Linked DNA regions of Mytilus edulis. The protein of the gene in region 3 interacts with the protein of the main gene of each other region in a biochemical or structural test. Links are inferred from orthologs where the notes say so. Each region holds a gene or a part of one and is shown on either strand. Other genes may lie near its edges. The genes, in order: E3 ubiquitin-protein ligase AMFR-like, ubiquitin-like modifier-activating enzyme 1 and probable ubiquitin-conjugating enzyme E2 7.

What was found.
Region 1: the proteins of probable ubiquitin-conjugating enzyme E2 7 (region 3) and E3 ubiquitin-protein ligase AMFR-like form a complex in vitro, tested with the Homo sapiens proteins (7 studies listed by BioGRID, with this or other methods). The link is inferred for Mytilus edulis from reciprocal best matches to the Homo sapiens genes UBE2G1 and AMFR.
Region 2: of the proteins of probable ubiquitin-conjugating enzyme E2 7 (region 3) and ubiquitin-like modifier-activating enzyme 1, one has a biochemical effect on the other in vitro, tested with the Homo sapiens proteins (3 studies listed by BioGRID, with this or other methods). The link is inferred for Mytilus edulis from reciprocal best matches to the Homo sapiens genes UBE2G1 and UBA1.

The regions. Positions count from the first base shown.
Region 1 is NC_092348.1:64,430,736-64,438,812, reverse strand, and holds the start of E3 ubiquitin-protein ligase AMFR-like, read right to left. Parts: upstream 3,059-8,077; 5' UTR 2,831-3,058; coding exon 2,507-2,830; intron 1,601-2,506; coding exon 1,508-1,600; intron 1-1,507. Other genes in the region: epimerase family protein SDR39U1-like, read left to right, coding at 3,344-3,359, 6,802-6,908, 7,635-7,720. UniProt on the Homo sapiens protein: E3 ubiquitin-protein ligase that mediates the polyubiquitination of lysine and cysteine residues on target proteins, such as CD3D, CYP3A4, CFTR, INSIG1, SOAT2/ACAT2 and APOB for proteasomal degradation.
Region 2 is NC_092344.1:46,511,867-46,519,934, reverse strand, and holds the start of ubiquitin-like modifier-activating enzyme 1, read right to left. Parts: upstream 3,018-8,068; 5' UTR 2,754-3,017; intron 2,587-2,753; exon of another isoform or gene 2,462-2,586; intron 2,368-2,461; coding exon 2,266-2,367; intron 1,130-2,265; coding exon 1,100-1,129; intron 1-1,099. UniProt on the Homo sapiens protein: Catalyzes the first step in ubiquitin conjugation to mark cellular proteins for degradation through the ubiquitin-proteasome system.
Region 3 is NC_092349.1:6,893,512-6,901,385, reverse strand, and holds the start of probable ubiquitin-conjugating enzyme E2 7, read right to left. Parts: upstream 3,007-7,874; 5' UTR 2,901-3,006; coding exon 2,855-2,900; intron 1-2,854. UniProt on the Homo sapiens protein: Accepts ubiquitin from the E1 complex and catalyzes its covalent attachment to other proteins. In vitro catalyzes 'Lys-48'-, as well as 'Lys-63'-linked polyubiquitination. May be involved in degradation of muscle-specific proteins.

The DNA.
Region 1 (8,077 bases), on a different chromosome or scaffold from region 3:
AGACACATTCATTGTGTATTATAACATTGTGTGGTAGAGGATTACTTATTCAACTCCTTTGGAGGTGTGCCTTCATTGGCAGAATTTATATTGATACAGAATACAGATGCTTATATCATTCTCTACATGTATGTTTAATTACATCTACAATTATAATATCTTTTAAGAAACACTCTTCTTTAGAAATACTTCGATAGTCCTTTACACTGATAGTAAAATTATGTACTTAAATATGTTGAATCATTTTTGTCGAGCCTTCGACTTTAGTCGAAAAAGCGAGACTAAGCAATCCTACATTCCATCGTCGTCGTCAGCGGCGTCCACAAATATTCATTCTGTGGTTAAAGTTTTTGAAATTTTAATAACTTTCTTAAACTAATACTATACTGGATTTCTACCAAACTTGGACAGAAGCTTGTTTATGATCATAAGATATAGTATCCAGATGTAAATTTTGTAAAAATAAAATTCCATTTTTTCCTTATTTAACTTATAAATGGACTTAGTTTTTTCTGCTGGGAAACATTACATTCACTCTGTGGTTAAAGTTTTTAAAGTTTTAATAACTTTCTTAAACTATCCTTGGTTTGTACCAAACTTGGACAGAAGCTTGTTTATGATCATAAGATAGGAACCAGAAGTAAATTTTGTAAAAAAACAAATCCATTTTTTCCGTATTTTACTTTTAAATGGACTTAGTTTTTCTGCGGGGAAACATTACATTCACTCTGTGGTTAAAGTTTTTAAAATTTTAATAACTTTCTTAAACTATCCTGGGTTTGTACCAAACTTGGACAGAAGCTTATTTATGATCATAAGATAGTATCCAGAAGTAAATTTTGTAAAAAGATAACTCCATTTTTTTCTGTATTTTACTTTTAAATGAACTTAGATTTTCTTCCAGTTAACATTACATACAGTCTGCAGTTAAAGTTTTTAAAACATTTATTAGATTCATTAACTATCCTAAATTTTTACCAAACTTGGACAGAATTTTTTTTACCAAACTTGGACAGAAGCTTCTTACAATCAAAAGATAGTATCAAGAGGAATATTTTTATTGATTTTTTTCCTCATTTTTGTTGAGCCTGCGATTTACAGCAAAAGTAGGCGAGACACTGGGTTCCGCGGAACCCTTACAAATTTTTTCATGTTTATCTTTAAAATCATTATCATGACTTTTATTCTTTGATTTTCACATTAAATCTTTGAATGAGAAAATCAAAAGAATTCATTTTATATGATAAATAACATACATGTATACAATTCATTAGTTTGATTCAAGCATGAACCTAGATGTACAAAGTACAAGACAATGTAAACATGGTAAACATGATTTAAGCATGTAATTCTTCAACATTTATGTATTCACAAGACAGACAATAACAGATCCTTCTGCTTGTTTGCAACTATTTAAATAGACTTACTTCAATTATTATAAGAAATTTTAATTATGTAATCCTTATCAGTCAAAATATACAAAACAATACATGTATGTAAACATTACCTGCTTTTCTACAACTCTTAACTCTCCAAATACAGCTTTTTGAATCAACTTGGCAAGCAGAATAAGACAGCAATATGCTGTGTTAACAACAGTCTGAAAAATAAATATGTATCACTTACAACGACTTATAGGAAATGTTAAAATAAATTCAAATATCAGAACCTAAACACATTCATGCATGTACACAGTTAATCAAAAGTTAGAATACTTATACAGTATATATAAGAAATTAAAAAAATCATCATGCCATATGTCTTAAAAACTTTTATAGTTGAAGTTATCGTAAATATTTTGATCATTGTTGAAGACTATACAGTGAGTGACATATAAAGAGTATATATATATCTGTGTCCTCTTAGTTGTCTCATTGACTATCATTTTTTTATATGTAACAAATGGAAAGAGAATTAAATTGGTTACTTATCACTGAGTCTGTACTTAAAAATGCACCACAACAGGTGCCTTATATGGAGCAGGATCTGTTTATTTACCCTTCAGGAGAACCTGCAGAGATCTCACTGGTTTTAGGTTGAGGTTTAGGTTGCTACGTTTTTATTTTTTCTATGCTATGCTAATATATGCATATAAATACATTGTATTCTACTATGCAAATCAAGGGAAATTTTTTTTTTTAACAAACTGTACCAAACTCTGTTCAAATAATAATCAGGAACAATAGACCCTGGGCGAACAGGTACTCAGGCAAACATGAATCAAGGCAAACATGAATCAAGACAAATATGAATCAGGGCAAACGTGAATCAGGACAAAACATGAATCAGGGGGAACAGACAGGGATTCAAAGTGAACCTACCCAAATCCAAACGTGAATCAGGACGAACATGAATCATGGTGAACTGACAGGGAGTCAGGGATTCAAAGTGAAACCTGAACCAGGACGAACATGAATCTGGGTGAACAGACAGGATTTCAAAGTGAAACCTCAATCATGACGACCATGAATCTATGTTAACAGACAGGGATCCAAAGTGTACCTACCCAAATGCACCATATTTCTGAAGTTAGAACATAGACTACATTCCACCAAAAACTCTCATATGGCAGCTGAATGTCAAATTCACTTGGTAATGGTTCCTTTACTACATCTGGATCATTCAATATGTCACTGATTTCTTTTGAATTACCGATGTTAACATTATGTTCGATTCCGGCTCCGTTTAGATCAGAATTATGTGGGTTTGTTTGGAAAGCAAGAACACATTGATAGGCATAAAACACAGCACATGACAACAATACAACAGAGAGACTAGTGTATGTACGAAGACTAGGCAGCGGTATCCGTTCTAGAAGTATCACAGGCATTGTGGTTTATTTGTGTTTTAGAAAAGATAACAAATCATTATTGTGTGGCGATCTGTCAAATATTGTGTCACACTCGACTTGAAATTTTGTGTATTATGGCGGCATTGTAATCGTTTCTTTCATAAAACATACCAAAATAGAGATTTTTGTTTGTTTTAATTCAATAAATCGACGAATAAAATATAAATAAGTAAAGAAGATACCCTTTGTTTGAAAAAGTTTTCCCCAAAAATAATAGAATAAAAATCTTAAGAAATCGAGCGCACCTGTTGCATGAATCGCCACTGTTTCGTAGAAAATCACTCCCTTAACAAAAAAACAAATTACATTGTTAAATTTTCAAAGCGGTTATGAAAATCTTTCATGTTAAGAGTTTAAAAGTTTTAATCAACAAATTATACATGCGAAACTATCATTTTCGATTGGCTATAAAGTTGTGATTACGCAACGTTTTGTTTTGACTGTCACCGGCTACTGGAAGCAGTTATCAGCTTATACATTGATTCACATAGAATGAGGGCTTTAATAGGTGATGCATTATTCTTGAGAATAAGGGAGATGGTTAATATGTATCAATGATACATCAAAAGAAGAACTAGAGGCTCTAAAGAGCCTGTGTCGCTCACCTTGGTCTATGTGAATATTAAAGGAAGCAGATGGATTCATGACAAAATTGTGTTTTGGTGATGGTGATGTGTTTGTACATCTTACTTTACTGAACATTCTTGCTGCTTAAAATTATCTCTATCTATAATGAACTTGGCCCATTAGTTTCAGTGGAAAATGTTAGTAAAAATTTACAAATTTTATGAAAATTGTTAAAAATTGACTATAAAGAACAATAACTCCTAAGGGGGTCAATTGACCATTTCGGTCATGTTGACTTATTTGTAAATCTTACTTTGCTGAACATTATTGTTGTTTACAGTTTATCTCTATCAATAATAATATTCAAGATAATGACCAAAAACAGCAAAATTTCCTTAAAACTAACAATCCAGGGTCAGCAACCCAACAACGGGTTGTCCGATTCATCTAAAAATTGCAGAGCAGATAAATGTTGACCTGATAAACAATTTTACTCCATGTCAGATTTGCTCTAAATGCTTTGGGTTTTGAGTTATAAGCCAAAAACTGCATTTTACCCCATGTTCTATTTTTAGCCATGGCGGCCATCTTGGTTGGATGGCCGGGTCACCGGACACATTTTTCAAACTACTAACCCAAAAGATGATTGTGGCCAAGTTTGGATTAATTTGGCCCAGTAGTTTCAGAGGAGAAGATTTTTGTAAAAGATTACTAAGATTTACGAAAAATGGTTAAAAATTGACTATAAAGGGCAATAACTCCTAAAGGGGTCAACTGACCATTTCAGTCATGTTGACTTATTTGTAAATCTTACTTTGGTGAACATTATTGCTGTTTATAGTTTATCTCTATCTATAATAATATTCAAGATAATAACCAAAAAGAGCAAAATTTCCTTAAAATTACTAATTCAGGGCCAGCAACCCAACAACGGGTTGTCCGATTCATCTGAAAATTTCAGGGCAGATAGATCTTGAACTGATAAACAATTTTACCCCCATGTCAGATTTGCTCTAAATGCTTTGGGTTTTGAGTTATAAGCCAAAAACTGCATTTTACCCCATGTTCTATTTTTAGCCATGGCGGCCATCTTGGTTTGATGGCCGGGTCACCGGACACATTTTTCAAACTACTAACCTAAAAGATGATTGTGGCCAAGTTTGGATTAATTTGGCCCAGTAGTTTCAGAGAAGATTTTTGTAAAATATTACTAAGATTTACGAAAAATGGTTAAAAATTGACTATAAAGGGCAATAACTCCTAAAGGGGTCAACTGACCATTTCAGTCATGTTGACTTATTTGTAAATCTTACTTTGCTGAACATTATTGCTGTTTACTGTTTATCTCTATCTATAATAATATTCAAGATAATAACCAAAAACAGCAAAATTTCCTTAAAATTACTAATTCAGGGGCAGCAACCCAACAACGGGTTATCCGATTCATCTGAAAATTTCAGGGCAGATAGATCTTCACCTGTTTAACAATTCTACCCCATGTCAGATTTGCTCTAAATGCTTTGGTTTTTGAGTTATAAGCCAAAAACTGCATTTTACCCCTATGTTCTATTTTTAGCCATGGCGGCCATCTTGGGTGGTTGGCCGGGTCACCGGACACATTTTTTAAACTAGATACCCCAATGATGATTGTGGCCAAGTTTGGTTTAATTTGGCCCAGTAGTTTCAGAGGAGAAGATTTTTGTAAAAGTTAACGACGACGACGGACGACGACGGACGCCGGACGACGCCGGACGCCAAGTGATGAGAAAAGCTCACTTGGCCTTTTAGGCCAGGTGAGCTAACAAAAACAACCAAATGACTTTTATAAAAAAATATAGAGGACAAGATATTTTAGCTGTTTATATATAAATTATATCCTTGTTTTTAAAATTGCAATAGGGAACATACATTTTATAATTGTATAAATAGATAAACCAAAGCCGAAACATCTTGAAAAATTGGTTTATTTATACAATTATAAATTATATGTTGCATAAGAGAGGGGGGATAGGAGGGGTCTTGATCCCGAAATCCCGGACTTGAAAAAACGAAATCCCGAGGTCCCGAATTTAATTAAAGCAAATCCCGACATCCCGAAATCCTAAAAAAAGGATTCCCAGATCCCGAAAGGGTCAATCCCGAAATCCAGAGCTTAAAAACACCCGATCCCGGAGTCCTGATAAAGGTCCTATCCCCCCTCATCTATGAGAATATGAAATGCCCTTAAATTTATCGTCAGGCGTGGAATGGTCATTTTCGGCTAGCTTCCAATTGATTAAAATTTTACCATAATTCATCAAAATATCCTTATCATGATTCGTCAGAGATCTATAACATGTCCAAGCAATTATTGTTACCGTCATTTCTGGATAAAATTTAATGTGATTCATCAAAATCTGTTGATTGTTTTTTTTAGAATAAAAGAAAGTGTACATCATTTACATTTTATCATCAAATATTACTGTTCACGTCATTTGGCAAGAATTTTTATTGTTTTTCGTCAGGAGTGTAACACAATGTTAGTACCCTCATCTACACTATCTGAAACAATGAAGTCTAATTTTTTAGCTGGCATGATGTTAAAACAACTTATCAAAGAATTCAACTTTATATATAACCAATATTGCACAATGGTGTTGATCAAAATTACATTATTCCAGGTCCCTTTGTTTTTGGTTGAAATCCTACACAGATACCAATAATAGACAATGATAGATGTCACATGTAACTTGCTACCTTATCTGTATGTTCTGCCATTGTCAGGCGCATCATCAAGCAGTGTGTTTGGGATTTGCCATTTACACAATGTACATGTATAGGGGTCTTAATCTCACCTGAACTTTGTCATTATAATGGGTCTCATTGGGGTCTAAGCCTGACGCGGGATTGCCATTTTTTTGTAAGCGTGACACGTGAAAGTCAAATTATTGTGTCGTGAAAACGGGAAATGACAAAAAAAAATGAAAATTGCTTACGTACATAGTGTAAGCGGGAAACTGGAATCTGACAAAACAGTAAGCGGGATCTGGGATCGGAACCCCCCAATGAGACCCCCATTATACTGAGGTATTGACACTTCTTAATTGAATCATTGACCAAAAAATATATCTACAAATATCCAGTTGTAGTAGGAAAACCATTTGAAAAATATGAGACAATTCAATAAAGAAAACTTAATGGCCTAATTTAAAATAAATAATTTGCAAAATTGTCCATTTTTCAATGTTTTAACGATTTTTAAAAACAAGGTCAATGACACGACAAAGATTTAACTGCCGTAATTTAGTTTGAACAAAATTTATTTTGATATAATTCAACATCTGTTAACATGGTTAACAAGTTTGTAAAAAACAATTAACATTTAATTTATATGTCTATTTTAGGTGGAGGTACTGGTTTTGTGGGCCGTCATTTAACTAAAGCTTTACAAGAGAAGGGTTATAAAGTAACAAAAGTGTCCAGAAAGACAGGACCAGATACTATTACTTGGGTAAAGAACAAGCTTTATTAGTTGTGGTTAACATATATTCAATGAAAGGTTCCAAATTTTAATTAATTACTCTACATTTATATTTGCCTGATTCTATCTATCCTCCATGGCCATTGTGCAATGAGCAAAACAGTACAAACCATAAACATGACAAAGCAACCATGAGTAACCGTAAATTTCAACATGAAGCTATACAACACTTTATGACTGATCTTCTAATGGTATATGCAAATTTTACACATGTTAACAGAAGTTCTATATATACTGGTACTTTGTTTTAACTATTAATGTGTATTTGTTAATAATCCTGGGATACCAATTTTCATTGACTTCATGGGGAATGAAAAAAAACACAATTTAGAGGGGGGATAGGAGGGGTCTTGATCCCGAAATCCCGGACTTGAAAAAACGAAATCCCGAGGTCCCGAATTTAAATAAAGCAAATCCCAACATCCCGAAATCCGAAAAAAAGAATTCCCAGATTCCGAAAGGGTCAATCCCGAAATCCCGAGCTTAAAAACACACGATCCCGGAGTCCATATAAAGGTCCTATCCCCCCTCAATTTAAACACTCCATGAAATACAACTTTTAAGTTGCTTTGGAAGGAGCTAATGCTAACACCACAAATACTCTAGAAATTACTTCTTCAATTGATACCAATGAAAATAAATGAACCCACAGTACCTGATATCTGATCATGAATATTAAATATTGTATTTTTTTAGAAAGATATAAATAAAAATGGAATACCAGATGATGTTACAGCTGTAGTGAATTTAGCTGGAGCTAATATACTTAATCCTCTCAAAAGGTAAGATCTCATACCTTGTACAATTGCCTTAACATTGCTTAAGGTGGTACCAAACTCCTTGACTAAAATTGATTTGGCTCATTTAATTTTCATAAAATTTTGACAAAATACTTTGACCCTTTGACAAAAATATTAAAATTTCAAACTTGAACCACACACACTATCAGAAAAATTTCATTGGATTCATCACAAAGTTTTGCTATTGTACATTCCAAGTTGGCAGTATACAGTGAATCTACCTAAAGAGATAGTAATGTATCTAGTTTCTCAGATGTGGAAAGCTCAATCATTTATTTTATTCTGTTATATATAAATATTTCCCTCACTTTAACACAATTTTCCAAACTGATTCCTCTA
Region 2 (8,068 bases), on a different chromosome or scaffold from region 3:
ACCGAAAGTAGTAAACGTGATCAATTGTTGATTTGTTTACAACCTCCTTTCAGTCATGATAATCGTTCCAAAAAGGATTTTATACATTTCCAACTTGATAGAAATGATTTTAAATTATTGGCCGAGACGTTTTATAAGGATAATGATTATGCAGTGAAATAATCATTGCAAATTAATTTTTGCTGTGATTCCTTGTTTAAAAAAAATAGAATCCAACTTTTGTTGAGGAATGACCCCCTGGAACAAACTGAAGAGAAATTGTGAACTAAATTTCTGGATTCCATGTCAGAATCTTTCATAATAATGGCCAATACAGTCAAATCATACAATAACTGCCAATCCTGCTGGTGCCTCAATCCCTTAAAAATCTGACTAAGTCAAAAGATGAAGCTAGTAATATACATCATTCGTCCATTGCTTTTACACGAAATAAGGTTGATTTTAATAGCGCGCAAAAGTGACTAAAGCCCTCAAAATCCTAGCTTAAACACTGCATAAGGCATCTGTACATAATGTATGAATCATCCCGTTCATCCATTTTCTGACTGATAAATCTTTACACAAATAGTTTACACCCCTGTTGTATTAGTATCCCTATTTATTCCAATTAGGACATAGATCAGACCATTATCTGTACATGATGTAGGCAGAGAGAAAAATATCAAGACAATTTTTAGTAAGTGATGAAAAGGTTATTGAAATGAGTAACAACATATGTCCTAGCCATTTATTCTAGGATAACAACAGACAGTCTGTGCCTTTAACCAAGCACCATGGCCAACTCTTGTATAAATTGACTCAGGCTAGTGATCATTTAACGAAATTATGTTTACTTATTTAGTGAAAATGTTGGAATTTCTGATTCAGACTAGTAGCTGGAAATGTTAAGATTCTTTGTTGTTTTCATAATACGGTTCTCATGAGGAAAAGCACCAAAGAAGCACACTAAATACAGAAGCTGGATGGGTACAAAATGAAAATTCAGCATGTTCAAAATAAGATTTTGAAGAAAACAGAAAACAAAGATAAAAGTTTTATTTTTTTTCCATTTTGCCACCCAGTCATGACAGTGCTGCAGTGATATAAAGGGCAAAAGTACCTTTACTGGCTTTGATCCCATTGTAAATCCCTATCAACAAAAATAAGATTCAATCATTACATTCTACTTCTTCTTCGGTAGGGGACTAAAAATTTAATTTTTACATGTACCTATCTACTACTATTTTTTCTGAAGTAGGCAGGAAACAAGTAACTTTGTTTTGGCCTAATCAATGAGCTGTAAAGGACATGCAAAGTTAAAAGTGTTCTATATTCTACATGTTGCACTGCAGGAACAGATCCCAACATTTTGCCAGGGAGTTTTAACTCCTGCAACATCATGAAACATTTGAAATGTTCATATTTTAAAAAAAAAAAATGGTAAAAGGGGAGTGGAGTTCCATTCAAGGGAACACCCCTCTTCCCCAATTTGGATTCGCCAATTGCAATGCACTGAAAAACAAAGGCTCCATCTTCAAATGTTTGTAGGCTATCAATTCAATCAAGTAAAATTCACCAAAATCAAGTGTGTTTGCAACTGAATGAACTGTCTTCCAATTTTTAGTTTCAGACTAAGAGATTGTTTTTATATCATGTATATGGTAAATACTGACAATAAGTTAACAACTTCAAAAATGAGGTTCATGCAAGTCAGAGTAAAACTTTTGATGTTGCTGAACTCAAAATTGGTGTATGGAGCTCATGATGCTATTACAAAAATGTATGCATGGTACATTCGACACGAGGGTACACTAGCTTAAAACATTATAATAATTTTTAGTATTCTGTGCACATGCATAAAATCCTATGTAGAAACTAGCTGTCAACCCTTTTAATGATCACTATCAACTTGATACAATGATAGTGTTTTTTAAAAGTGGTCTCTACCTGTAAGATACCTGTAAGATCGTTGTGGGGCTCATATGGAAGGATCCTTTCTTTTTTACTTTAGCCCACCATATTTTGATACACTTTCAAAACTGATACAATCATCAATCCTGCATGATTTGGTGCAATATTTCACACAATTAAAAAGTTATATAGAAAACTATTTGTGTCCTCATCAATTTCTTAACTAATACATGACTGACTCCAAATGACAGTCTATACTAATTTTAAAAGCTTCTCTGAAAGTAAAATATAAAAAAATCTCGCTCACTTTCAGGAAATTATTGATCCATGCATATTTAACGGAAAGCTATTTTTCGTCTTTTGAAATATACTCACTTCTTTTACAGAGTTTGAAGCGGAATTTTCACTATTATTTTCTGTGTTATTTTGTCTCTGTTTCTTGGCAGGAGGACCCTCAGAATCCGTGCAACTGGACATCTGGTAAAACACAAAGAAAATACAACTGCAGAGTAATTTCAAGCATAAATCAAAGATTTTTAATACAATTTGGTCTTTGCTGTAACTGAAATACCTGTCTAAATCTAAATTTAAAGGAAATCTAAAGGAACTAAGATGATTTTGAAGTTGCAGACGAGTTTCAGCGCCACAAAAATGGCGGAGGTTACGGAAGCCTACACGTGCGGAAGAACGATCACTCGGGCCTTTACCTCAGTTAACACCCAAAATAAATTTTTTGACAGGCCAAGTTTCATAATTTTAAAATGACATGATTCCAGAAAGAAAAAAAATGTTACAACTATGTACAATAAAACAGTATGAAGATCATTCTATAAACGAGATTAAATAATAATATATGAACAAACCAACAAGTGGGTTCACAACATGAACATCCGACTTGCATGAGCGGCTTTCTTCAGTTTCGATGATATTTGACAGATTTTCTTCTACCCGATGAATTATAAGTCTTCTATGTTGGATCTTAAATAAATAACAATATGAAAATTGCTATCGAAAAGTCTCGAACAAAGACACTATCAAAAGAAATGAGTCAACGATTACGGTGATTTCCAATAATATTTCTGACATACAAAGTACTTCCTGTTTCTATGTCACTCCCCGGGAATTCTGGGAAATATGCAAATTTGAGGCCAAAGGAGAAAACGAAAGTAAAACAAGGACCTACACGTGTCAACACCCTCAGTCAACACCTCGAATAACATAATTCAAGGTTTTTGCTTCTCAAACAGTTTCAACTTTTCAAAATTTTCATCAAAATCGACCACAGGTTATTGCAATGATTTCATAATTGCGACGGGATAACTTTTTCAAAAATAAAACTGATCATTTTAATTTTATGTAATTTAGCAAGATTCACAAAAACCTAATTATAATAATTATAAATCTACTTGTTTTAATAGATAAGTACAATAAAAATAGATTTAGATTAAAATAAAATTTCCATATTAATATTATCATTTGCTTTACTAAAACAGAAAAAAAACAAGGACAGTAGACTTTAAAATGAGGCAAAGCATGCCCTGGGTGACCCTTTATCTAACTGTGATATACCATATACTGATTTTAAATCTAATATTAGAGAATATGTTTTTAATATTTTGAAAAATGAATGGAGTAAAAAAGATGATAATAAATAACATGAAATTAAAGCTAATTTAGGCAAACCTTTTAATAATTTTATGTGCAGAAAAGATCAGTGTGTTATTTCTAGATGTCGTATTGGTCATACTAGAATAACACACGAGTATCTTTTAAAAAATGAAGATGAACCACAATGTGTATCTTGCAACTGCAAGTATACTATTAAACATGTTTTAATTAATTGTATTGACTATACTGATATTCGTAAGAAGCATTTCAATGTCAATAATATGTATGATTTATTTAATAATGTTCCATTTACAAATATTGTTGCATTTTTCAAAGAAATTGGAATTTATTATAGAATATAAAAATGTTATTATATTTAAGTCGTTTTTAATTTTTATAACGTTATCTTACTGTTGATTTTTATTTGTAAATAATCAATTTGCTTTAGTCTAGAATTTTAGTATATTGAAGGACTTTTTGTCTTATTTTAAAAATATATACTTTAAATTGATACATACTACTCCCCTTTACAGGCAACCAACAATCAATCAACTTTATAATGAGCTTTGTGTAAAATTGGTTCAAAATGTTGGTATACTATATGCCGATATGCGAATAAATCTGGGAATACCAAATTAACTTTATCAGAGACATTTGTATTATATTATATGTCTCTGACTTCTTTCAATTCTTCATGTCTTTATTGCTGGTTGTATACCTCTGTTGGACTAAATCAGAGCAATTTGGCCAAAAGTACCAAAACAAGAGTCGCTGAACTGATTGCTATGCTGAAGTTAAGTCAAGTTATTAGGCGAATTTAAACGGATGCTAACATTGAGTGTTAATTCATCGAGAAGACCGCAAATACATATACAAAAATCTAGACCACCTTTTCTTAAAATTGTAATTAAAATAGAGTAAAAATATCTGAACGGATAACCTTCTCTGTAATTAAATTATCTAATTTTTTTTTATTGTTATCATACGCACACGTCCGTGTCCTTGTCGTTTCTATATCGGAAAGTTCACTCAACAGGAGCAGTGCGGTGTTTGAGACTACATATCAACGCAGTGTTGGTAAAATTATATATAGATATTTCATTTTATCGAAAGTCAATGCCTACGTAGTTATAAACTAAACCAAGATGATTGGGTCTGCACATGATAAACCACATTCAATTCACTGGCGTAGCATATATGTTCTTATTCCAGGGCCGTAACTACCTATGAGGCAACTGCCTCCCCTGAATTTTCTGCACCATTTTTTTTTTAAAGTAATAAAATGAAATATTGACAATATGTACAAGAAAAACTTGAATTTATATCATAAACAACACAAGTTTACAGTTTTAACAGTGTTATCATGATTCATGATAATTATATCTGTCATTGTCTGGATTTTTGATTGATTGTGAACCGTTTCAGTATGTTTTATTTTTATTTTTTCGTGTGGCCGTCCGTCTGTTATTCAGTATTCGTACGAGAACACATATGAAATTTTGCTTTCGACAATTTTGAATAAAACCTTACTATTCACATTTATTTAGGGGCTCAATTAAGCAGAGGAAATTCACTTTGTATTGTGATTCTTTAATGATATCGGAAATTCGTTACCGGCTGAATCAGCTGTTGGATAATTTTTTTAACATCTCCCGATCATACTAGAACATTATGGTCAATGCCTTAGTTACTTAGTTAACACTCCCATTCGTTGTAGCAGGGACTTTCTATACTAAGTATATACTAGTATAGAAAGTCCCTGGTTGTAGTTTATACATGTCTGTCCAGCTTTCAACAATATTGAAATTCAAGGTTCTCGATAAAAAAAAAATATCTTGCGTTCTATGATCTTGCTTTATATGTTTTTTTAACTTACCAGTTTGATTTCTTACAAAAATATCTTTAAATACAGATAATAATTGTTTGCATAAAATTGCTTCAAGGATCCAGCAATACTGATGTTTCTTAAAGTAAGGAAATCGAAGGAAAACGGGTAATTTTTAGCCATTTTAACTGAGAGAGAAAAAAAAATCGGCGGATCTAGGGGGCCTCAATCGGCGGCCCCCAAATCCCTGCCTCCCCTGAATTCGAACCCTAGTTACGGCCCTGTATTCTGATGGTTTAAGTATTATCATCGCTGTCATGTATCTAGGTGTACAACTTTTTTTTTAATGTAAAGCTAAAAGAGTAATACTATATTTATTGGCTACTATATAGTGCCTGCGTTATAAAATATCAATTCCTATAAACTACATATTCGCTAATGTTAAAGTAATCTTTTTGAAAAGCTTAAACTTATGAAAAAAATCGTATCCCATTTATGGTAACAATGTCATAAATAAAATTACATGGGCGCAGCCATTTGTGAAGGGAACATGACATAGAGATAAAAATAGATGGCTTTCTGTGATTGGTTGTTACATCATTTATATATTTTTCTTCTGAAAAGCATTTTGAAGAAAGTTTCATGCAAGCTCAAAATTGACCTCAAATGTATATGATCAGGGCCAGAAATGTTTTTTTATGCTGTTCCAAATTAAGGAAAATTTTTTGCGAAATCGTAAGGTATCGTAAAAAAACAAATCACCATGGGATCATATATATATTTAATTTCAATTAAATCACAAGTAGATATCGACCTCCAATAAGACAACAGATGTTTTTCCATAAAAAGTTTATTCAAAGAGCCATTTGAGGACATAATTGCTAAAAATAGCATTGCCGGCAATTTGGCCAACATTTGGTACTTTATATTCTAAAATCTCCCGGTGCTTGTCCATGGCGTCTTAAACAAAGGGAGATCATCCAATCATTCCACAAATAACTGCTAGTCTTATGAGCTAATAAAAGGGGATTTTGTTCGAAACATTACTTTCATCATTATTTTATGCCAAGTTCATTGATTTATTTATTTTTCAAACTTGAAAATTAACCCCCAAAAAACACGTTCGAAATTTGAAGCCTGCTACAAAAATAAGGTGTACGCAATTTCTTATAAAATAGCCTGTTGCACTTCAAGATAAGGTGTACGCATTCATTTTTTTATAGAAAAGTTATGGATTTAAGCCTCTTTTTTTTTTTGGTATTTTTGTTGTTTTTTTTGTTGTTTTTTTTTTCAGTCGGGAAGGAAAAGGGCTGCAGTTATAATATATGGAAACAGAACTATAGATAAACTAAACTAATGACAACAAATTCAGATTCTTTTTGAAAAATGTGTGTGGCTCTGAAAAGAACCGTTTTTTGAAGAAGTCTGGTGCTTTTCCTCTAGTCATACATCTCAATGTCTGCTGAAGAATCTTCTGAAATAATGTCGACAACTTCACCAAACAGTTCTTGTCTCAGTTCGGCTACGGATTCTGCTTTCTGGTGAGCGTAGTCGTAGTACATGTTGCGCATTCCATCAACAACTGCTATGCGTAGACGTAGCGAGTATCTGAAAGACTTGTTGTTGTCAGTCTTGGCTCTGTTGTACCTCTTTTGAAGTGCGTCTAAAGAGTAGTTCAATTGGACAATCTGTTCACAGGCTCTCTTGAATCGACGTTCGCTCTCAACCAATTTGGTCCTCTTGTTGAGGTTTCTCATTTGTACTTTAGCTTTCATGATTAATAAAGAATATGTAGTAGTTGTTAGCACTATAAGAGTTGAAACAAGTTCTGATGATTCTTTGGAAAGGATTGGTTATATAGCTCTTCTAGTGACACCTGAAATTGAGAAACGTCAGGGTAATGACATCATAGAGTAATTAATTTGAGTTTCTAGTTTAGGCACGAGTCCATTGTCAAAACAGTCTCGTGTCGTGGGCTTGTGTGTATTGTCAAACATCTTTGTCTATTAATCATGATTTATTGTAATCCAATCATGAAGTTGATTAAATCATCTTATAATTTAATAAATATAGTTCGTGTATTGCAATTATTTTTATTTCAACTAAAAAATTATTTCATTTGAAAAATTAATGAAAAATAAACGGAATGAATTATTGCAAGAAAAACGATACACAAAGAAACACGTTTTTTTCTCTCTTCTTTTCTGCCGTCTCTACTTTGTTTTTTTCCCCCTTCTTTCCTTCATTGTAAATTTATGAAGGATTTTATTGCGTTAATTTGTTAGATATCGAAAATAGTTAAGTCTTTTCTGAGAGAGGGGATTTTGTTCGAAACATTACTTTCATCATTATTTTATGCCAAGTTCATTGATTTATTTATTTTTCAAACTTGAAAATTAACCCCCAAAAAACACGTTCGAAATTTGAAGCCTGCTACAAAAATAAGGTGTACGCAATTTCTTATAAAATAGCCTGTTGCACTTCAAGATAAGGTGTACGCATTCATTTTTTTATAGAAAAGTTATGGATTTAAGCCTCTTTTTTTTTTTGGTATTTTTGTTGTTTTTTTTGTTGTTTTTTTTTTCAGTCGGGAAGGAAAAGGGCTGCAGTTATAATATATGGAAACAGAACTATAGATAAACTAAACTAATGACAACAAATTCAGATTCTTTTTGAAAAATGTGTGTGGCTCTGAAAAGAACCGTTTTTTGAAGAAGTCTGGTGCTTTTCCTCTAGTCATACATC
Region 3 (7,874 bases):
TCATATAAAAGAGATGAGGAAATAAATTTAAAACACTGTTTATATATATGTTAAGAGTGCAATGACCTCAGTTCAATTGATTGTTTTTGACATGTCAATTTTTTACTTTTGTTTGATACTTCAAATTTGCAAACATCCACCATGTTTGTACAGTGTACATTTAGAAACTATGTGATTAAAATAACAAATAACAACTGACCAGTGTTCTCCCCAGGGCCTTTCAGCATCATCGTAATGTGATGCTATATTTCTGAATGTGATGCTATCTGAATTGAATCATTTTATTTTCTTATACATTGTTTATGGATGTGATGCTATAATTTATTTTTCAAAAGATGGTATTTCAAATTTCCTTGTTTACCAGGATGCTAAATATATGAAATATCTGGGAAGACCACTGCTGACGCTAAACAAAAATAGATACAAGGGAAATACAGAAGAATTTCCAGGTTAATAATTAAACTAAAATTGAACTGTTAAGTTCAAAACTATGATCATAGATTTCAAACATTCAATATAACATGTATAATAGCTAAATGTTTTCAGTAATTGTATGTCTAACTTTTGGTTAAAATGTTAAAGATTTCCTGCTACTATCTGATTTTATTGAAAGAATTATTAATTTAAAGTGATTTTAAGTCTTTACAAATTTTATCAGAGGTGGATACATTTTTAAGCCGTTTTCACGATAAACTTTTAAATCTACAGGTTATGTACAATGTAAGAGCTCAATATTTGAAATTTTTTATTAGATTCTGTTAGACAGTAGAGATGAGTTTTACAGACCCTAAAGGAATTTTACAAGCTTGGGCTGCTGGGCCTGTGGTTAAACCTGAGTTTTCTTAATGACATTTAACTTTTGGTATATAAATTTCACATAATTTTCAATCCCTTTGAATGTCAGATTTTTAACTGGTATTTCAATTCTGTTTCAATTAAGATTTAGGTATGTCTTTCATTGTATTAACTTATTCAATTATTTGCTTTAAAAGAATTTTTCATACTTCAAAGAATTTAGGACTGTCAAAACATTTGCTAAAAATAAATGGGGAAGGTGTACCATGGATGATGCCCCATGATGAATATCATATAAAGGGACATAATTAGTGAAGAAGGGTAAGAGTGATGCTACCCAAATTTGTACTTGATCTAATTTTTGTTGTCATATATAAGTATTGTGTATGAGCTTCTTAACATATGAATGAGGCAAACTTTAGTTGGACTGTAAGAGAAGGGAAACAAACAAAAATAAGCAATTTTTCCCTTCGTAAAGGTGCACAACTCTAGAATCGTTAAAGTGACACCACCAAAAATTCAATTTTGATCTGTATTTTGTGGTAAAAAGCATAAGCATTGTGTATAAGTTTCATAATATTTAGTGGAGGCAATTAAAGTTAGAGCATGGAAACCAACTTTGGGACGTACATGTATGAACATACTGTTGGAAAAGGGTAAAAACTTAAAATACAAAATGTACCCTCTGCTACATAAAAACTGCAAGCATTCATCTGACACACTTAAAAACAGTCCAGTTGAAATATCAAGTTCAACATCTGTTATTTGTCAAATTAACCTATCTTGAGTGCTACTGCACACTCAGAAATGTCTCGCCTGTTTTACTTTAACTGAGTTCATGTTGAAAGTCTGTAATATGAAAGTTTACTACTTGTAGCTATCACATAAACTCAACATTATCAATGTTCTATGAAAATGAGGTCATGATCAGATAAACCATGCTAGACAGACGTATACACCTTACAATTGTTCCATACTCTAAATCATGAAAATAAAAAAAATGCACGTCACCTGTCTCAATTATCACTTCTCCAGAGGGGGTCTCATTGGGGGGTTCCGATCCCGGATCCCGCTTACTGTTTTGTCAGATTCCTGTATCCCGCTTACACTATGTACGTAAGCAATTCTCATTTTTTGGTCATTTCCCGGGTCCCGCAAGACCTCATTTCCCGCCACAATAATTTGACTTTCACGTGTCACGCTTTAAAAAAATCAGCAATCCCGCGTCACGCTTAGACCCCAATGAGACCCACTCCAGACTGTTGACATGTATGAGGTGTACCTGAAGTCTCCCCATCATGAAAATCACAACATCAGGGCATTTTCAAGAACTGGCAAGATCTGATCCTGTGCCTAAATAAATACTCAAAGTACCGTGAGAAAATTACATGTACCAGAAGCAATATGGTCTACCATGAATGATGAAGAAAGGAAAAGAGTTACATGTACATGTACAAGTTGTATCAATTTTGAACTTAGGATCGGGATCAGGACAATGATTTTTACGGTTAGTTTGGCTGCAAAAGGGTTCTCTTCTCAGGGCTCATCATAACCAGTTGTCGAATTATACAAACAAAGGAGTGACCTACCATGCCATCAATATTGACAACAAGTCCTAAAAAGGGCCCTCAGAGCAATCTGGGAGTAGGCAGCGACCTCCTACACTAGGGAAAAACTTTTTACCATATGACCACAGAAAAAATATATCTGATTGTGAGTACACTTCTCAATCAGTTCAACATAAGACCAACTTTGATCATTTGTTGATAAATAGTTTCTTATTTGATGAAGAAATTTTACAGTTGGGACCATGCGTGTCATTTGTACATGTGGCGATTGAAAATTTCCACACAGAATATTTTAGAGAATTTAACAACGTGTATAAATATTTAAACATTGTCATTTTTAATAAACAAATCTTATTATTAATGAACGTGTCGAGATGATTCATATGCGCAGACGTTTTCGTTTCTGTTCAACAAGAGACGGAAAAGGATGATGCCACTTCAATTTTGGGACAAATTCAAAGACTATGTTCTCCCTATTTTGTATTCCTCACCACGTAGCTGCCTTTGTAAAAGGAGCGCTGACTGGTCAACAGCCATGGGAGAAATATTTCCACGGCTTTTCCACTCCAACGGATATTTTTATTCTCGGCCTCTGGAAGTGAAAAATGCGCAGGTGCAATCGTTTGTTCACAGCTGAGCGACAGGGGAGATAACTGTAAGTTTTCGCGGACTTTTTAATTTTTATTTTCAGTGCGCAATCAACTTTTTTTTAATATACTCTTTGGTACAATCGAAATTAACTCGGTGTTGAATAAAATACACCAAGGCTTTGTATAGTGATACTTTACAAATCCTTGGATACATTACCTCACATTTATTGGCTAATAAGAAAATGTAAAAAAAAAATAGAGCCACCAAACTAATTACAGTACCATGTACTTACAATATCAGAAATAAAAATCCTATAAAAAAAGAGACTCCCCTTGCATTTTATCCATTATTATTACCGGTATATATATTATCATTTTGTATAGAAGACTCAACTTGTGTTTCATCCATTGTCATTTTGGTAAACGGACAGAAAGTCACAGGACAAAAAGTCACAGGACATAAAGTCACAAATTTCGCAGGACAAAAAGTCACAGGACAAAAAGTCACAAATAATTAGTTGACAATTGTTTGAATATGTAAGAGAAATAACTTGAAATATTTACTTTTTATACATATATTCATATTAAAATTTAGGAAATGTGTCATTATACTTGAAAAATAAAGATTTATTTAATTTTACCAGTGCAAAAGAAAGATTTCTTGGCACTATGAAGCCATTTAAGTGCCAAGCCACTTTGACATTTCGTTTTTTTAACAATTATTTAATTATCTTTGATATTTGTTTGATAAATTTTATTTACAAAGTTGGTTTATGTACAATAGTTCAAGAAAAATGCAAAAATATTTTTGTAGAAATACGCGTTTTTTATTCAAAGAAAATAATCAGAAAAAATGGACTGTGACTTTTTGTCCTGTGACTTTATGTCCGTGACTTTTTGTCTGTGACTTTCTGTCCTACATTCGTCATTTTGTATAGAAGACTCAACTTGCGTTTCATCCTTTAATATTTTGTTTAGAAGACTCAACCTGTGTCTCATCCTTTATTATTTTGTATAAAATACTTACGTTGTGTCTCATCCATACCTGCATCCATACTAAAATAAATGTATAATTGAAAACCTGTAGTAACGTGAAACTAAAATTAACATTATACTCGCCGTGGACTTCATAAGTATGGTTTCACTTGTGTCCAATCCATAATTTTACGAGTAAATAAAATACGTTTTAACTAAAGAGTATTATCGTCAGCTTAATTAAAAAGGGCTCCATGTTCAATAAAATAAGATATGTCATTCATTGAAGTATTAAATAATGTAGGTCCTATGATTGAGACTTTTAAAATGTACCCCGTCTTGCTGTCTGCCCAACTGCTGAGTATTCATTGAAAATCTCCACCTCAAATGTAACAAGGATATAGGATGACCTTGCGGTTACAAAATATCTTGAGAATAACGCAAGTCTTTGTCAATTAAAAATGATGGCGTCTAAATATTTTCATTCGATTAAGTTCAAATCTATACCATGTATACGAAAAACTGATGTAAAAAAGTATGAGCAATCATACATTTAGATATGCAGCAAATATGAATAAGAAGATGTGATATGAGTGCCAATGAAACAACTATCCATCCCGTTGAAGGTAGGATGTGTAAAAAGTAAACAATTCATGATAGGTCAAAGCACGGTCTTCAACTCTGAGCCTTGGGCTCTCACCGAACAGTTAGCTATAAAGGGTCCCGAAATGACTATATATCAAACAATTCAAATAGAAAAACCAACGGTCTGAATACACAGCTACTTTTGCATAGGTACTATTTCTGTACCAAAAATCTGTAGTACTGGAAATCTACTTTTAATATTCAGTACTATTTTGTTACTTTAAAGTTATTGTAATATTTAGGTACCTGTATTTTACAGTACTTGATTTGTACTTGAAATTTAAGTACTACAGATTTTTTGTTGCATGGTTAACATTTTCAGCATTTTGAAAGTTTGTCTTCCCCAAATCTCATAAAGTTACGATGTTCAAACATGGAATACTGTGATCATTGTTTGTATTATTTTTGTACCAATATTTTAAGTACAAATCAAGTACTGGAAAATACAAGTACCTAAATATTACAATAATTCTCAAGTAAAGAAATAGTACCGTAAATATTAAAAGTAAATTTCCAGTACTACAGATTTTAAGTACAGAAATAGTATAAAAATAGTACCTATGCAAAAGTAGCTGTGTAGTCTATGCTAAATAAAAAAAGAAACGGGGAAACACTAATGAGCCATACCAACAAACGACACTAAATCTCCATGGATTTCCAATTAAATAATTTTCAGATCTTTTTTGAATTGCCTTATACATATGTAATGTTACACAATGAACTTGAAATGAGCAAATACAAAATCTCGTTAAAGGAAATGAGATAAGAAATTAAATGTTAAAGCATTTACACAATAGACTCTGACAACGGATTACAAAGCACTTGTAATTAGTATGTAAATGTACAGATTAAAATGATTAAAATTGTACGAAAACAGAGCACTTGTTTGAATAATGAATTACAATAAAAAAATCAATGAATGGAAAAGTTACTATAATTTGACACCAAAAATAAATGGAAAATTATCTTGCATGGTTACTCATTCTCTAAATAATAGCACATGAGCTTCTTTTGACAGTAAGAGGATTTTATGCAAATAGATGTATATATATCCTGATCTTGGTATTAAAAAAGACAATTAGAAACTCAGTCAAGTTTACGCAGGGAGCATATGTACATTCCTAGAAAAGAAACGATATTAGTTTTATTTTGAAATATAGATATATACTACCAGAAAAACACTGAGTGGAAACATAAACAAAATACTCAAATACAATATATTGGAACTGTAAACGGTGTCATTGTACAAGGAAAATATGCAAAATAAGAAAACACTGACTGAGTGGAAACATAAACAAAATACTCAAATACAATATTGGAACTGTAAACGGTGTCATTGTACAAGGAAAATATGCGAATCTCTATAATGTAATGGAAACTGCACCACACGGCAAAAAGGATATATAGGTATGTAGTTGCTTTAATATATATATTTTATGTGTATTTGAATGTTTTAAGGACGCCAAACAAGTATAGTAGCCGGTGTTTTATATGAAACAATAGGAAAAAATATATACCATTACAAATTTGATTAATTCTTCACCGTCAACTTTCCTGCAGCAATGGTACATGTGAAAGACGTAAATTGCGTCAGCATATTTTGCTGTTAAAAATGTGTTCTAGGTATAGTCCAACTACTGTATTACTAGCCTGTCAACACCGAGGTGGTGTGCTCGAACCCTGCAAGTGGCACGACTGCGCTCTACTCCAATATCTTAATTGACATGGATTCTCATTTTTTTTTTTATGAAGGTCGGCGATGATTTCCGGGCACTCATGCTTCCACCACCAATAAAAACTGGCCGACACGATCAGGGGGTTCCAACCAAGGATAAAAGGTTCCAAATATAGGTCAAAAGCATTGATTTTCAACAAAAAGGGGGTTATAACCCCCACCCACCCTGATTCCGCCACTTAAGATATAGACAGTAGTGTTTAAAGTGGCGCTTCGCTGTACAGATGCCCTACTTATGAACGCTATATATATTTTTAATGCATAGACATATTCTTGGAGGATGATCTACTTACCCTTCCTACCACCTGAGACCAAGTCTTAAGATTTCTATGTTGCGTTTCATATATTATTGTCTTTTTGGTCTTTTTTCTTATTTTGTTATGGCGTTGGCAGTATATTGTGCCGATGTCTATTTGTTATTTTTGATATCCCTTTTGGTATATTTCGCCGCTCTTTTAATCCCATTCAAACAATCAAATTTGGACCATCATGGATCACAGAAAGAAATACATGAGCAAAACATGCTTAACTCAACTAGTTTCTTATGATGTGCCTGCCCAAAGAGGTTTTTAAAGAATACCAAGATATTAATATATAGTGACTAAAGCCTATAACATATTGTTTTGTTGTTGTTTTTTTAATTGCTGTTTGTCACTACATATTATTTTTTTATTTTTGTAGAATAAGACTGTCTGGTTTGTTTTTTGTTTATTGTTTCACATTTTTAACCCCGGGGCTTAACAATCATAACTTATATATCATACGGTTTGTGTTTTGCTTATTGTGAAAAGCCGCACGGCAATGGAAAATATCTGTATAATTGATGACATCTTTCTCTCGTTTTGCGTTTTCTTGTCACATATCTTATTCATAATATGAAAATAAGGAGATGTTGATGGATTGCTACTACAGAAAACATCCATTAAATATCGAGAAGAATGATGCGATCATTTACTGATTACTTTCGTGCGGCTTTCCTTATAGTATGCGCATATCTTCTTATCGTTCGCCCGTATACTTGAATACCAGTCTCCGCAACATTTATAATGGTCTTCTGTAGGGCATCCACTGGTCCATATAGTTTCTCCTTAAGTGTTGTTGGCGAATGTCTCCTTGGGTGTTGTTGGCGAATGCCATATCTTATCAATCTCAGACATCTCACTGCCTGATGGATCTTATTAGTCTTTTCAGTGTTGCACAAGTTCAAACAGGTACAGAAACACTGGTTAATCATATGCATGCCGCATAACCCTGGGAAACTCACTCGCAGAATTTTTATTTCTTTTACGAAAAGATGATATTTTAGCCAAGAATGTTGAATCGATATATTTTTAATATGTATGATATATAGTTCTTTTTAACTTTATGCCTAGTAACTTTTTGTAAATTCTTTCTTGTGAAATTGTACAAGCGTTTAGGAAATCATTTTTCGAAATTTAAATTACGGCAAATTCATGAAGTATGGAATAATGTCCCTTTATCGAATGTTCCTTTGTGTTTATATTATAAAAGGAAAGACATTGTTATACGCCCGTCACAAGTTTGAAGGGACGTATTATAGTATAC